Linked DNA regions of Oryzias latipes. The main gene of each other region encodes a partner of the protein of the gene in region 2 in a complex. Links are inferred from orthologs where the notes say so. Each region holds a gene or a part of one and is shown on either strand. Other genes may lie near its edges.

Region 1 (8,476 bases), on a different chromosome or scaffold from region 2:
AATCAGGTGTCAGACCGTGGAACAAGTAAACAAAACAATGAGGCTCAGAGACGCGAGTCTGTCTGTGTTCGGCGGATTTTTCCACTACATCTCCCATGATGCATTGGGTTAAAGTGACAGCGCAAGTCTTAGCGCACAATGAGTCCCTCCTCTTAACGTCTTAAAACAACAACGAACACAGTTTTTGAATCTTTTAACTTAACTTTTATTACATATTTTAGAAAAAACAACTGCGGCTTCCATCTTTTTCTGCCACAATTATCACAAAAATGCATGTGAGATTGCAGAGGGACTGTAGATCAATACAGACTATGAGCTTTTCCTTTTTTTCTTTTTTTTTTAAATTTTTGGATGCTGGTGTGCCGCTGGATTTTTGTCGAGGTTAAAGTGTGCCGTGGCTCAAAAAAGGTTGAAAAACACTGCTTTATTCAACCCATCAGGACGATCAGCATATACATATCGCCGAATCTTGACTGCAGCGGTGGTGCTGCGCTGCATCACGTAACATATATTCCGCTTTTTTCCAAATCGAAAAAAAAAAACAAGAATTAAGGACTAAAACCTGGTTAATATGTATTGCTTTTATAACTGACCATGGTATAAGCGGGTTAATGGCCTTCGAAGTGTGCGTCACTTCGCGTCGGACGGTTCAGGCTTCCACGGCGTGCGTTAAAAAGTAATAACCGCACACTTCGTCGGCCATTAACCCTTACATAATCCAGCCGTCCAGTTCTGATCCAGATTCCAGCTCAGACGTAGAAGGATATTAGTCGTCTACAAGTGGACGCATCGGATTGGAGCGGAGCAGGGAGGGCGTGGCCCGCCCACTGTAGCACCTACGTCACTGCTACAGGCTTTTTCAAGCCTCATTTTCTCCTGACTCACAACGATTGGAACAAAGAAATTCTCAGAAATTACATTTTAATCCGAGTTTTCTTTACATACGTCCAGCATCAAGGAAAATGTTACGAAAACATAAAAAAGAAGTACAAAAAAAAACAACAATTTTCATTAAGTGGATCTTGGAGTTGTTAAATGTTGTCACATAAAAACCGCACAGAAGAATCCGGACGGAACAAAAACAGACTTTAAACAAATTAATTCATCAATTATGTGGCCGTCTTGAGTCTCAGACATAACAAAACCCCACAAATTACTCTGATGGCTAACAATTCGATATTTCATGACCTGACAGTAACCATTATAAAAAAATCGCCCGTTGGTTGGACGAAACAATCCTCCCAGGCTCTGTTTACACCTGGATCCGCGCGTAAACAAAGCGCACGCGCACGGACACCTTAATCCAAACTCCACAAACAAACACGAAGGTTTTTCTGAGGACGGGAGTGAAGCGGAGGCTGTCGAATGAATGAAGCCCTGCCTCGAACCGACGACGCGTCGCCGTTTCGGGGCTCGAGGGAGGCGCGCGCGCCGTCACACAGACACACACACTGACCTGTCGGAGTAGGTGGGGATGAGGACATACTGGATAACCACGTAATCCGCGTAAAACACGCTGAAGTACGTCAAAATAAGGCAGATTACGCCGCACGGGTCCCGTTTACACCGCAGGAACGCCATCTTTTGTCGGGCTCCACCCACTTCTGCCCGCTTCCTGTTGACGTCAGAACAAAACCCGATGGTGCTTTCACGGACAGTAGAAAACGAAACAATATTTCTTGAGCCTCAGCATAATGAACGTTCAAAATATAAGTAGTAACTGAGGAATTTAACTAAAGTTAGCAGTTTTCTGGGGTTCGGTTATCGGCACAAAAAGTCTGCGTTGTTTGGTGAAAGCAAAATCAATAGACGTATGACAAACGACGACATCTACCCTTGGACACACAAAATGCCTGCGGGCAACGTGCATCTCGGCCACATGAATTCAATTTGTTGATTCATTTCCATCAGTTTTTGTATTTGATTGGTACACTTGAATGCGTCACGGCTCTGCTAGGGTAGGGTGGATGAAATCGATTAATCAATCTGAATCTATCCAAGCTTAATAGATCATTTATCGATCCATAAAAGTATCGATCGAGAGATCGATCTTTTTGGCCTTTCCTTTTCCGGTGACCTAACGCAAAAAAGCAGTAATGCCAAAGGCCGCTAGTTTAATGCTAACGTATAATGGAATTTCCCATAAGACGGCTATTGCTAACTCCTCTATGACTTAAACATACATTGATGACCAAATGAACAGCTTTTTATCCTCACAGACAGCAATTTTCCAAACTCTTATAACCCTTGTGCTATCCTAGGCACGTTAATCTTGGGATGGGGGTCATCTGGACCCCACTAGACAGTGCGCTGAACCTTTTTTCTTCAGTGATTTGTGATCTTCACTGGTGTCCATGGATTACATAAAATACTCTTCACCTTTATCCACCTTTGTCATGGTAGGGAGAACACGTCCAATGGAAGGGTGGAGTCATTTTGAGCCCTTAAGATAGCACAAGGGTTAAGGAAACATTATTTTAAAAGTAAATATTTGTAGTCTGGAATAAAGTGGAACGCTATGGTGGGTGCTCCACCTAGTGGCCAAACCAAACAGCCCTCCAGGAGATGCGGAACATGATGATCTGTACATTTTTGTTGGAGCTTGTCTCATGTAACACTATCTGGTGGTAACAATCTCATTGCCTTATTATTTTACTAATACATTTTACAGAACATGCACTGTATCAGAATAATACAAAAATATATCTGCAAACATATTACTACCGTATATCTATACAAATATGTCTAAGTATGTGAACTGCATAAAGTAAAAATTTAAACGCTCCATTCTCCGGTGAATCAAATTGGTTCTGGAGATTATCGGTGATACATGATGTTATTTTTGTTAAAGTCGGTATAGAGAGAGAGAAAAAATAGAATAAAACTGAAAAATTCAGACATTTTATTTTGTCGTCACATCGCCCTGTCATAGAATGAAAGAAAAATCCTACTTCAGGTGTTACTTACGTAAACAGGTGTAAATCTTTTGTATGGTAGTTTCTAGATGAGGAAAGTAGCTCTGGCGTTATCCTATTATAGTTTCCGAGCTATAGATTACTACTTGAACCTGAAGGCATCACGAGATCACGAGCTGCAGTCCTTCAGGTAGGGAGGAACACGGGGGAGAAGGCGTTACCGGTGCTCCGGCTCAGGTTGACGTCCGCCGCTGAGGCCCCGCCCCCCAGAGTGGGCGGGAACCACCTCGTCATTCTTCTGGTTTGCCCCCAAACTCTCTCTCTCTCTTTTTTTCTTCTCCTGTCAGTCTTTCGCGCTCGTGCGTCGTTGGCCTCGCTCGTCGCGGAGAACCGGATCTTTCTGTCGATTCCAACTTTACTCCCGAAGTTTTTTTTGGTTGAGGATTCGAGACGAAGAGCGGATAAACGGAAGGAGCTAAAGGGGAGAAACCTGGAGGAAGTAAAGGGAGGCCAAACGTCGAAGTAACCATGGAGGTTCCTGGTATGCAGGTGAGTCGGAAGGTGCACGCGCGCCCTCGCTTCGGGGAAATAAACATCAGACAGACCGACGAGTCTTAGCGAACATTTTTGTGTTGCGTTTAGGGACCCTTTTTCAGTGGAAAACGCAACCGCGTGGAAAGTTTTCTGAGCGAAACGCTTGACATCTTTTCTTGTTTCTTTCTTAAAAGTTGGCATTATTTGAAAACTGTGAAAATTATCGATTTGTTTTTAATTAGGGCTTTTAAATCATCACATTGAACGCATTTAGTTGAATTGAAAGCTAGTGTCTCTTTAAAAAACCTCAACAAATAGTTTACAATTTCATTTTTAATGATTGGTTTTAAGACGTTAGGCCTTAATAAAGGGCTTCAAACAGACAGCAGATATTTGTTGTTAACCTATTGACGCTTTCTGGGATACAAAAAAATCTCCATCCATATTTGACCATATATCACTTGGAGCATTTCTTCCTGTTTATATGTTAGCATTAGCCTGCAGCTGCAGATAAAACTACATTTATGTTGCATAAAGTCTTCTAAATTGATTTTGAGTGCAGATGTTTTTTTTTTTTTTTGACTTATAATTGAGTTTTGAGGGGTTTCATGGAGGGAACCTCCTTGGGTTGCACATTAATCTGGTGCCAGGCTTGTTTTTCTTTTTTTTGTCATGAAACTCCAACTTTCTCTGTGGTGACTTTAAATTTGGGGCTGGGCTTCTCCTTCAGCCTGAAGACGTTTCTTATCTGCAGGCTGTGCTCTTCTGATATCCCGTCTTTTCTATTGAGGTGACCTAATGGCTCCTTTTTCACCACCCAAGTGTTTCCACAGTGACTCACGGCGTTCTGGCAGAGTATTTTTAGCTCTGGATATTTTATTTGCTGGATTTTATAGGTTACAGATATGAAACTGGGTGTGGCTTAAGTCAGGAGTGTTTTTTTTGTAGTTGTTGTTGCCTGGCAGCATTGGTAAATATTTTTGTTGTTGGGCCTTTACAGCCTTTCCTTTAGCTTGAACTGGAACACATGGCCGTAAAACGGAGTCCAGGATTGGCTCTTCACCAACGTTGCCGTTAAGACAGGTGTGCTGGAAGAATGCCTGTTCGGCTGGCTTTCAGGTGTGTCTACCTGTGGGACCTGCTCCCTCTGCTCGCACTGTTAGTCCCAGGTGGGCGGGCCGGATGTGTCGACATTAACGCACCTGACAGCTGCTGCTGCCGCACCTTCCACCTTCACGTTCTAGCTCAGTAAAAGTGAAATAATTCAGATTGATTTAAAAAGGGAATTTTTTAGGTCCAGAAGTGATTCATGATAGCTGCAATAAGAATGGAGGACAGGTGATGCTTGACATTTGTAACACCTGGCAGGATGAACGCATTTCGAGTGGCGTTCGTCATGCAAAACCGATTTCCCATTCGACTTTAATAGGAAATTATGTAATCAGCTTGATGCACAGAAGGTAGAGGAAGAGAAGAAGACGGAGGATTTAAACCAAAGCATGGAAGGATGCAACCTTTGACAGAAAATTCCCATTTTTGCCGTAAACATAGCCTTTGGAAAGTATGCGGTTACGGTATTTGTTGTAAGAGGGAACAACTAGAACTTTGGCCTACAAATGAAATCTCTGATTTTTTTTCCTAGTCCGAATTTGATTTTCATCCATTTTTTTCTCGCGGCTTTTACTTTCTTTAACAAAAGTTACATTTGATGGAATATGTTTAACAAAAACTATTTTATTTGAACGTCTCCTTTGGAAAATTGGCTCCCAAACAAAGTTCAACTAAATATAAGCTGTTAAAATATTTTCAGCACATGTTTTGTTAGCTACCGCTAGCTTGAGCTTCTCATACAGAGAAATACTAGAACGCACTCAGCAGAACACTTTTGGTAGCAACAGCCATGAAATCATCTCCCCACAGAGACTAGGTTGACTAGTAGATTAAAATAAATTCAACCAACCAAATGATTCCATTATTTTGCAAAGAAACTAAAGGTGTTGTTAAAAAAAAGATAGTTAAATGCTAACAGAAACTATCAGATAACAGTTTTTGTCTGTATTGATTTCTAATCAATCTCTGTTCTCTGATTTTGCCGTTTTATAAAAGGTTTTATTTTCAATCACAAATGATTTGTTTGTGTTTTCCTGCTGAGAAACGCCCCCATGAGAAGAGGGTTTCAGTCCGTCACCTGTCCGTCACAAGGGGGGAGCTTCTTTCAGCTCAACGCCGGCTCTGTAACGTTGCATAGACACTAATAAACTTCCATACAAAGTGTCTGTTATAATATTTATAATGTACAGTTTAATAAATGTTCTATGACTTTAAACCGGTCCGTGTTCACATGTAGGCAACATGGAACAGCTTGTTAGTATACCTTGTTAGCATTTAGCATCGTAGCATTTAGCATTGTAGCATTTAAAATCTTAGCATTTAGCATCGTAGCATTTAGCATAGTAGCATTTAACATCGTAGCATTGTGCAAGTGTGCAAATTCAGAAAAAAAAAGATAGTTGAAAAGGATTAAAAAAAGTCAAATTATGGGAAAATGTTTTTCAGCCAACAAGTCTTTACCTGAATTCGGTTTTGAGATGTTTTCGTCAGTTGAGAATTATCCAGTTTATGCGTATTTTATGTTGTTTATACAATTATTACGTAAATGTAACGCAATTATGCATAATTTTTGCTAGATAATACACACATTTGTTTCTTTCCATGACCGTTCCGCATTTGTCTAACAGACTTTTCATGCATGTACTACCAACGTATGACTTCCATATCACGTATACGGCGCACATGTCGCGTTAGAATGACATAATGACGCACAAATCACTCATTCATTGAATATAAACAACGCTATAATCACACACGTATTCTACGTTGATTTACGTGTTCTTCGCGTGGTTTATTCGTACTTCTTCCACGGTTCTAACATGGTTCATTCGTGATGAACCACAACTTTTCTCACTTTTCCACGTACTTTTCACTTCTGAACAATTTTCATTCTTACAATATGCGCAAAATGTACATACATGGCCTTTAATTTGTTGCATACATCATTTATTTGACATCAGTTCGGATGTTTGTGTTTTGAAACTCTACATTATTAGATGTAGAATGCTTGTTTTTTTTTATTTATTGGCAGACTTTTCCTCAGTTTCGCCCAAACTTATAAATCTGATCAAAGTCACCTTCAGTTTCCCTTCAGGTGTGGACTTTTTTCCGACTAAAAAATAAAAGCTTGGGCCTACTCGGCCCCTGGACGAGTAACGAAAGCGTCTTTCCTTCCTCTTTGTCCGCCGTTGTGAAACCTCCGCTGCAGTTTCTAAAAAGCCCGTGTTGTTGTTTTTCCCAGCCGTGACGGATGCTGTGCTCGGGATTACATAACCCTGCAGAAAATGATCCCTGTTTAATATCTGAACTGTGACATTCTCGCACAAGTTTCCCAGCTGACTCCATGATGTACGATACACATGTGCACTGCTATAATGAAGCTCCTTGTTGGACTGTAGCCTTTGCTGCCTGCAGCCACATTTCCTTGTATCGGCTCATTCAGGGACTCTCACATCACGTTGATGTGCTGCATTTGCCTTTTTTTTTGGTGCAGACAGTTAAATCAAGGCCAAATCAGGGAAAGGATCTCTTTAGATCAAGTAGATCTAGAAAAATGTATTTTTAAAGCACTTTTTTTTCTTTTAGAAAGAATTGTTAAGAGTTTGTGTCAAAGACCACAGAGAGACGGTATAAACCAGGAATTAAAATAGATCAACTTAGGTACATTAACCCTTTAACACCTGAGCTGTCCTCGGTGACGATAAATAACACGCTTTCTTTGACCTACCGTAGTTCTTTAACCATTTCAGCAGTTGACGAAATTCCAATGGATTCTAAAAGCCAAGAAAAGCAGCTTTGCGCTGATGTGCAACACTTGATGATAGTGAAGTGTTGCATATCGATGCAAAGTTAACTGCGTAACGGGGGAGGAGTTGCGATAATTCAAAAAGCGCTAGTGTTAAGCTAATAGAATGCTAAATCAAAAAGATCTTCAGGTGGGTTTTAAAAGCCTCTGAGTCGATGGATTGTCGGGAAAAAAGCTTTTCTTTTGAATAATTGTAATAAATGTGATAAAGGGAGCTAATTTTATCTCAATGACTTTTGTTGAGTAAATACTTGAAACAACCCGTTGCTGACTTAACAGGTTGTTTGAAGTATTTACTCAACGGGTTGTGTGGAGTAAATACTTGAAACAACCCGTTGAGTCGGCAATCCTTGGTCAGTCTTGATCGGGGTTTCAGTCTGAAGCGTGTTTTTAAAAAACCACGCTATGGTTCCCAGGCGTTGTCGCACTGCAGCACAACCTTTGTCATCACAGCCACACAAATAAAAACCCAGAGGTCACACAGCGTTTGAGCTTCTTTGGTACAGTTGTGGCCACATGATTGTCGTAGCGCGGCTTCCATCAGACGGCGTGCACTGCAGCCGCCACAGACAACCTCATGACAACCATGTTGTCATGGTGAAATACCAATTAAAGAAAAACAAGAACCATAGTCAATAGTTTTTTAGATTGTAAACCAATTCCTTCTAACGTGGACCAATAACTTGAGTATTTTTCTGTTTTTAGTAAAATTGTGGGCTTGTCTGTACATCCTTCTGTAGTTTTAGGTCAACACAACTGCTGAGCTCTTTTATAAATCTGTGGATCTCTAGTCTTGAGGTTTTTTTTGTTGTTCTTTTTGATAATTATCTTTGTCCATATGAACCAGGGCTGGGTTTTCGTGTCAGACTAGTTAGGGTTTGACTCTAAACTAACTTTTTTAAAGATACCCACATTGCATTTAAAAGCAGAGGGAGGGGTCATTGGGCATTTATTACAGCTTTAAATGTGCAAAAACGGGCTCTTCCACTGTTTCAATTCCAGATGTTTAATTCTCAAATGCACTACTGCCAGCCATCGTCCTCCCACAGTCTTGACCATAAACGCAGTGATTTATATTATGGGCTGTGCTGTCTATGAGCAGGAACCTGGT
Region 2 (7,838 bases):
ACCTTTTATCGGTATACGTATTAACGTGAATTTAAGGTAGCGACCGGAGCCCCACTGACATGTCAAGGGGGACGAGTAACCGGCGTGGAGGTCTGTTATCCAGCCGGGAGTCTGAGTGCGTTGGCCGTTAGCTTTGGAGCCCGTGGCTCAACTGAGATATCGGGAGCCTGCAGCCGCCGTGGATACGTTAATCGTGCTGTTTTGACATTTGGACCAGATGTTGGTCAGATGTTGTTCGTGACAGTCAGACGACCCTAAACGAATGACCTTACCGATTCAAATCCGTGATTCTGGAGGTTTTTTTTAATCAACCTATACATAGAAAAGTGGCTTTTTCTGGTTCTCTGGTTGGCTGCGAAGCATCTTTCAGGTCACACCTCCCTCTGGAAGATCTCCTGCATTCTAGGTCTTTATTTGCTGTCAGTTTTTTTATTTATTTACATGAATTCCTGTACATTTTCCATTTGAAGTCTGTGGATTTCTCCTTGGAAACAGCCTGTAAACAAACATGACTTCCCGATGAGAGAAGCGGGATCTGGAGCTGCTCCATGTTCTTCATGGAGCTCCAGGTGTGTGTTGGCTTTGCCGTGTCCAGCAGCAGATCTGCTGCTTCTACATCTCAGTTTGTGTGACAGAAGCAGACCCTTTTGGGTTTTTAGAAGGAATATCTGGCATCATCTCAGCTGTGGAGATGTTTCTGTCGGGGGGGGGGGGGGGGGGACGCTTTAATAAAGGCTAAAAACAAAATGAGAGTGTTGGTAGTGATATCATTTCATCACCATTGAACAATAAGGTTACTCCTCAGAGCCATTGAACGTATTGTGAGTCTCCAGGATGAGGATGATGAAGAGGCCGGAGGATTCTGCTCTGATCCTGGTCTGTGATGTCACAACCCAAAGGATGGTCCAATCAGATATTTATAGAAGTAGGTGACCCTGAACCAACGTCAGGCTCTCACATCAAACTGCATGGATCTCCCTTTTGGAGATTTGATATTTAAATTCCCTTAAAATTTAACTCACGAAGCAGAAGGAGACACTGGTGGGTTTATAATAACGAGGAAAAAGGAGTTAGTTTTAACCAAAATATGCTTTTTTTTCCTGTTATGGCATTATGTCTGCGCTGTTATTGATGTACACAATATTTTACATAATAAATGTGTTTTTAAATCATTCTTTTTTTATTAGAAACTGTCGAATTCTTTCATTTTTTAGATTTTATTAAATTTTTCCTCCTCATGTTTTAAGTCTTTTTGTTCTTCTGCAATGTTGCCACTAGATGGCACTAGATGTTTACACAGCAACCTCAAAAAGCCAAAAATAAATGTAAAAAAAAAATCAATTGTATTGTATCTTCCAGCTTCCAGAGCCACGTTTTGCTCCTCTGGACATGAATTCAGAGCAAAACTCTGACAGTGTGACGTCGTCGGTCTTAAATAGCTGTACTGACACAACGACAGTGGCGTTTTAATGAGGTGACGTGGTTGAATAACTGCAGCCCACATGTGCTGTTTTGGTCAGGGGTGTTGAGAAGCTCCCGATGACTCACAGGAACTCTGTCTGGTTTGTCATCGCCATACATTTAGGCTGAGCTGCTCACCGAACCTCCTTTCCAGTGTCTGATTCATGTAGGTGTCACATGACCTCACTCAACTCAACAACCATGTAAACAATCTTTAAAGAGTGACTCCCATATCTTTCAGAAACCTATCATAAAGAGAAGATCCAGGAGGATTTGGTTTCTCTGGAAGTGACTCGGTTGTTTTCTTGACACAATATTTTTGTGTACATAAGAGTTTTGAAACATTTGTTTCTGTTCTGCGTCTTTCCAGGCCCGGATAGCGTTCCTGCAGGGGGAGAGGAAGGGCCAGGAGAACCTAAAGAACGATCTGGTTCGAAGAATCAAGATGTTAGAATATGCTTTAAAACAGGAAAGGTAGGAACCCCGACTCATCTCAATTTATTCATTTTATCATCTAAATGTTTGAGACCAAAGAAAAAAAAATCTCTGCCTTCAAACAGGAAAACGACTAAAATCCAGAGGGAATGCTTCACTTTACGAACAGAGAATTAGGTTCGTTTGGAAGTGATTTCATAGCAGAAAAACAAGTTTCAGGTCAGAATCAATGTGAAAAACCTTGACCCAAGCTTAAAGTTGATTCCCCTTGTGGTTAAAATCATTTTCATCTTTTAAAAACAAGAATTTTATATTAAAAGGATTAAGATTTTTCTCTTTGCTTTTGGTCTTTTGAACATCCAATTCAAAATATATCAAACATTTATTTCATAACATATCAGATATATTTTTTTGTTTAGACAATTAAACAGAAAATTGAGGGAAAGGCATCAGAAGAGGATCAGCAATAAGGACTGGACTGAAAAAGTCAGGAAAAGAAACGTTTTTAGGAAAGTTTGCAGAACTTTAAAACTGAATTCATAAGAAAAGTTTAAGGCAGAAATCAATTTAAAAAAACAATGTTTTCAAAGTCTGTTTACATGAAACGACTTTAGATTTTGAACTTGATCTTTGAGGTTGACATCTGTAAGAATAAATAATATTTTTTTCTCTTCCTCCTAGAGCGAAATATCACAAGTTAAAATATGGAACAGAGCTGAACCAAGGAGAGATGAAGATGCCAAGCTTTGAATCAGGTCTGAAAGTCTTCCTCAGTTTCATTTCTTGTTTCTTTCACTCTTTCCTAAACGTATTTGATGGATTAAATGCTAATTATCGGATGAGAAAACTGCTTTAATACATTAATTAGGGGGTGTTAGAAAAAATCGTTTCGGCGATATATCGCGATAGTTCATTTGGCGATACTCGTATCGATTCAAAATACTGTCAGGACGATATTTATTTAATTATTCTTCAGCGTCTTCAGCGTCTGACTCTTGCTGTCCACTTCAACCTCCGGCCACTAGTGGGCAGCAGAGAACATGGAACCTCTTTGAGGAGCTCTACACACAAGACAACAGGAAGACTGCAGCCAGAGTCAGCTTGTTTCGTTGTCATGCGACATGAACTACTTCATTTTTACTTGGGATGGGAACCGAACCATAACTCTGTTCCATGTTGCTGCAATTAACATATAAAAACGCGAATTGTGGTGCTTTTTAGCGGACTCGGACAAAAACGAGTGAAGCAGTGCAGCTGCACAGCGGCTAATCTAATGCACTTAGCATCGGCCAAAATGCTATCGGCAAAGTGGGCCAAAGTTCTGCAGAACCTCTCAGCAATAGATTCTAGTTCAGCGACCTGTTAGAGCAGAGTGACGTTTACAACGCTCTGAAAAACGGGCAACGTCGTGGCGATAACCGTTACTAGTTGACCTCCGTGTGTGAGAAGGAGCTGCAGTGCAGACTGCAAACAAAGCGTCTTAGCCACATTAAGACGCTCTCCTTCATCCTGTCATGCTGCCTCATCATCACACTTTATTGTTTCTGGAAAAATAATAGTGATTCTATAGTTTATGTTACCAAAATAAAAGCTCTATGAATTTGCTTTGGTAAAAGCAACTTATGTATGAGATACAGTTACAGTGCTTAACATTATGATCATTAAATAAACTGAATTTGACCATTACATTACAATGAAAAGACGCATTGAAATTCAGGTAGAGTTTTTCTAAGTCATATTTTTTATTTTTAAAAAGAAAGAAAATGTGTTCCCGTAAAATATCGGGATACGTATCGTATCGTATCGCCCGACTCTTGCAAATACACACCCCTACTTCCCTCAGGTTCCCCTGAGAAAAACGCAAACCTCTCGTGAGTGAACCAGCTCCCGTCCGTGGGAACATTTCAGGAAAACGTTCTGTAGTGTCCTTGCAGTGCAGCAGCTGAGTGAAGCTCAGCGTTTATCTGTGTTCGCCCCGCAGACGCCAAAGACTCAGAGGTGTCGGCGGTTCCTGCCAACAGTCAGCTGACGTGGAAACAAGGGCGGCAGCTTCTCAGACAGTAAGACCCGCTTCCTTCCGCCCCCTCTTTCATGTTTTTAAAATGCTGTTTCCCAGAGTCCAGGTCAGTCTGAGCTCCTCAGAGACACAATCTTTCACGAGCCACATCAGCGCGAGCAGAGGAGCAGAGACTTGACTCCGTGTTGTGTTCAGGTACCTTCAGGAAGTCGGGTACACGGACACCATCCTGGACGTGCGCACTCAGAGAGTCCGCTCCCTGCTCGGCCTGTCCGGGTCCGAGCAGAACGGCGCAGTGGAGAACAAGAACCTGCAGCACCTCATCAACGGGACGGAGCGCTGCAAAGACGGCAAGAGGTGAGCCGTCAGTCAAACGAAGGTCCCCAGCTTGAGGCTGTGGAGGGTCACCTGCATGGTGCTGTGAGCAGGATTCCCAGCGACGACCTGGAGACGTTCAACTTCCTGGAGAACGCGGAGGACAGCGACGAGGACGAGGAGGCGGACCTGATGGACGACCTCGGCACGGACAAACACCGCAGAGCCAAAAAACACAAAACCAAGGTCCGTTTCAAACCTGGACCGCTCCTTCTGCAGAACTCCAGGGCTCCTCTCACTCCTCTGCTTCTGGTCCCTCCAGGTGGGGAACGAGGGTTTGGCCACCGAGGACGAAGCCGTCACAGAGGAGGTCATGAAGGAGTTTGACTTCCTGGTGACGGCAGAGGATGGAGAGGGGGCGGGGGAGGCCCGGAGCTCCGGAGACGGGACGGAGTGGGGTGAGTCGGTGAACTGAACCAAAGCTTTGACATTTCTGAGACAAAACCTTCAATTTCAGTTCAAGTTTGAATTCAGAATGAAAGCTTATTTTATTATGTAAAGGTAGATTTTTAAACAAATCATTTAACTGAAGAAATAAACAGATTTTATTAGAAAAGATTATGCTAAAGACCCACTCCAATGAAAATTGAAATGTTATTTAAGCTTTTTCCCAGAAAGGAGGACTTATGACGGTTGAGCATTTTGGGGTATTTATTTTGAAGGGCTAGGTTAATAAAATCAATTAAACAATCTGAAACCAATTCAAGCTTAATAAACCAATGACCAAAGAACAAAAGATTAATATTTTATGTCTTTCTTTTCCGGTGACCTAACGCATAACAGCAGCAAAGCCAAATTCCACTAGCTCGATGCTAACATATAATGGAATTTCCCATAGGACAGATAATGCTAACACTCGGTCGACGTAAACACTGCTGACTAAATAAACAGCTTTATTTGCTCCCTTGCAGGAGTTTTACAATTTATTTTAAGGAAATATTAAAAAACAACAATTTCTTTTGCTCAAATCTTCTGGAATAAATTGTAACGCTATAGCGCCAGCTCCACCTAGTGGCCAAATATCTTCAAAACATAAATAGACTATTAATGTATTTCTATACAAAAATGTCTAAAGTGTAAAAAAAAATTGTGAATAAAGTCGATCCAGGCTCTGGTGAATCAAATCGATCGTGGGAAGTTGTAGTAACACCCAGTCCCATTTCATTGTTCAAATTGTTGTGAATCGGGAGCAGAAAGAAAACTGACTGGAAGCCCTGATAATGTTGGCCATTTTTGCTGCACCGCTAATGTGAGGGTGGGGTTGTGAAGGGCTGTAAGCTAGCTGGAGAGCGCGTCTTTAAAGGAAACAAAACTGGTTTCATTAGAACAGATGATGTTAATATGAGCTTTTTTAGTGTGTGCCAACGGAAGTTTGTCTTTGCAGCAGAGCCTCTGCCGTTTTCCAGCGGTGGGGGCAAATCCTTCTTGCTGGGGGGCTCAGACGATGCCCTGGAAAACATGCTGGGCTTGGGCGACCTCGCTGACATTTGCGTCACCAACGACGAGGTGGACTTTGGCTACGATGTGAGAGACCCACAAACACGAGTGTTGTGACATCCCCACCCCCCGTGAAGGTTCTCACATGTTCCTCCTTCCCCCCTCCCCCAGCTCTCTTCCAGTAAGGAGTCTTCCTTCAGGAAAACGTGGAATCCTAAGTACACGTTGCGGAGCCACTTTGACGGCGTCCGAGCCTTGGCGTTCCATCCCGTTGAACCTTGCCTGGTCAGCGTGTCGGAAGACCACACCCTAAAGCTGTGGAACCTCACCAAAACCGTCCCGGCCAAAAAGTACGCCAGCTCCTCCCTCCCACCCATCAGAGCGCGTCCTTAGGATCAGCTTGGCCTGAAAACCCGCTCGCCTCTTCAGCGGATCTGATCTGTTCTTCTCACTGTTTTCCAGAAGTGCCTCGTTTGATGTGGAGCCCATCTACACTTTCAGGGGACACGAGTACGTACTCCAAACATGAAGCAAACAGAAAGCTCTGAATGTGGAACCGTGTGGAAGACTCGAAGATTTATTAGTTCTCAGGGTCGATGAATTCAGGAGGGGAACCTTCCTTAGAAACCATCTTTAGAATAATTCCTTCTCCTCTTTCAGGGGCCCAGTGTTGTCGTTGGCGATGACCTCCACAGGTGAACAGTGTTTCAGCGGCGGCATCGACTCCACCATCCAGTGGTGGAACATCCCCGGCTCCAACGTCGACCCCTACGATACCTACGGTACGGACCGATTCGTCCTCACCTGAACGCGTCCCGCCGTCCACACCCCAACTCTTCTAAACCCCTCCCCCTGCTTTCACGAGCCTGAATGTGTCTGCCTTCCATGTGTCCTCAGACTCCAGTGTCCTGGCAGGTACATGGGCGGGGCATACCGATGCCGTGTGGGGATTGGCTTACAGTGGTATCAAGAACCGCCTCCTCTCCTGCTCAGCCGATGGGACGGTGAAGCTATGGAACCCGGCGGCCAAAGAGCCTTGCATCAGCACTTTCAACACAGACATGGGTGAGGAGCGCACCCCCCCCACACACACACACACACCCACCCACCCTGCAGCACACACCCCCCATCTGGGGGGGGGGTATTTTTTTGCTCAAAGGTTTAGTTAGAAAGAAGAATTGTTCCAACAACCAGGTCCCTGCAGTTCTGGCTAACAGAAAAACCGAGTGGTCCTAAAATTGATCCCTGAGGAACTCAAGTAGTTGAAAGTTAAAATGGCCTGAAATCTGAAGTGTTTTTTAACCTGTTGAGGTTTGTGTGCACAGAACACGGCATCCCCACGTCAGTGGACTTCAACGGCTGTGACCCCGCCCACATGGTGGCGTCTTTTAACGGAGGAGACGTGGCCATTTACGACTTGGAAACCTCACAGACCGCCGTGGTGCTGAAAGGACAAGGAGACGGCAGTAAGTTCCGTGCATTTGCCGATGCTTCCGGCGGCGTCTGTTTTCTCCCGATGTAACTTGGCGTTTGTCTGCAGCCGGCCCGTCTCTGAACCACATCAACAAAGTGGTGAGTCACCCCACGCTGCCCATCACCATCACGGCACACGAGGACCGCCACATCAAGTTCTTTGATAACAAAACGGGTAAGTCTGTCTTTTTTTTTTTGCCATCCTTTCTTTTTTATATCAAGAAAAGGGGGCGGGGCTCTATGTTTAGGATGTCACTAGATTTTGAATATAAACATGTTTACATTGTGTAATCCTTCAGTCTCACATCCATCCACCAAGGTCGCCATTTAATGAATCAACTCGTTACCATATTTCAGGCTAAACTATCTTCTGTTTTCCCTCTTCTTTAAAGCTCCATCGTTAAATCAGTGATGTCCCAGAATCTCTACCGTTTCTAGTTTCTTACTTGTTTCATTTTTTTAACATTTTATTTTTGATTCCTGGAAGAAACTTTTGTTTTTGGATTTAAAAAAAAAAAAAATTCTGCAGTTTTGTTGTTTGTCTCAAATGTCATGTTTTATTATTTGTGTTTTTTAAATTGTCTTTATCTTTAACATGTTTTTGCGTTCAGTGATTTGGACTTCAGGGCCACCGTACTCC

What was found. The genes of interacting proteins can lie anywhere in the genome.
Region 1: strn3 (region 2) and stk26 share a complex: the UniProt entries of both Homo sapiens proteins name them as parts of the core of STRIPAK complex. The link is inferred for Oryzias latipes from reciprocal best matches to the Homo sapiens genes STRN3 and STK26.

The regions. Positions count from the first base shown.
Region 1 is NC_019876.2:4,716,703-4,725,178, reverse strand, and holds the start of stk26 (serine/threonine-protein kinase 26), read left to right. Parts: upstream 1-3,230; 5' UTR 3,231-3,443; coding exon 3,444-3,464; intron 3,465-8,476. Other genes in the region: palmitoyltransferase ZDHHC3, read right to left, coding at 1,457-1,581. UniProt on the Homo sapiens protein: Serine/threonine-protein kinase that acts as a mediator of cell growth. Modulates apoptosis. In association with STK24 negatively regulates Golgi reorientation in polarized cell migration upon RHO activation.
Region 2 is NC_019880.2:2,596,919-2,604,756, reverse strand, and holds part of strn3 (striatin-3), read left to right. Parts: intron 1-1,831; coding exon 1,832-1,935; intron 1,936-2,577; coding exon 2,578-2,651; intron 2,652-3,877; coding exon 3,878-3,956; intron 3,957-4,108; coding exon 4,109-4,270; intron 4,271-4,341; coding exon 4,342-4,474; intron 4,475-4,550; coding exon 4,551-4,686; intron 4,687-5,672; coding exon 5,673-5,812; intron 5,813-5,896; coding exon 5,897-6,075; intron 6,076-6,187; coding exon 6,188-6,235; intron 6,236-6,385; coding exon 6,386-6,507; intron 6,508-6,622; coding exon 6,623-6,790; intron 6,791-7,050; coding exon 7,051-7,191; intron 7,192-7,265; coding exon 7,266-7,373; intron 7,374-7,838. UniProt on the Homo sapiens protein: Calmodulin-binding scaffolding protein which is the center of the striatin-interacting phosphatase and kinase (STRIPAK) complexes.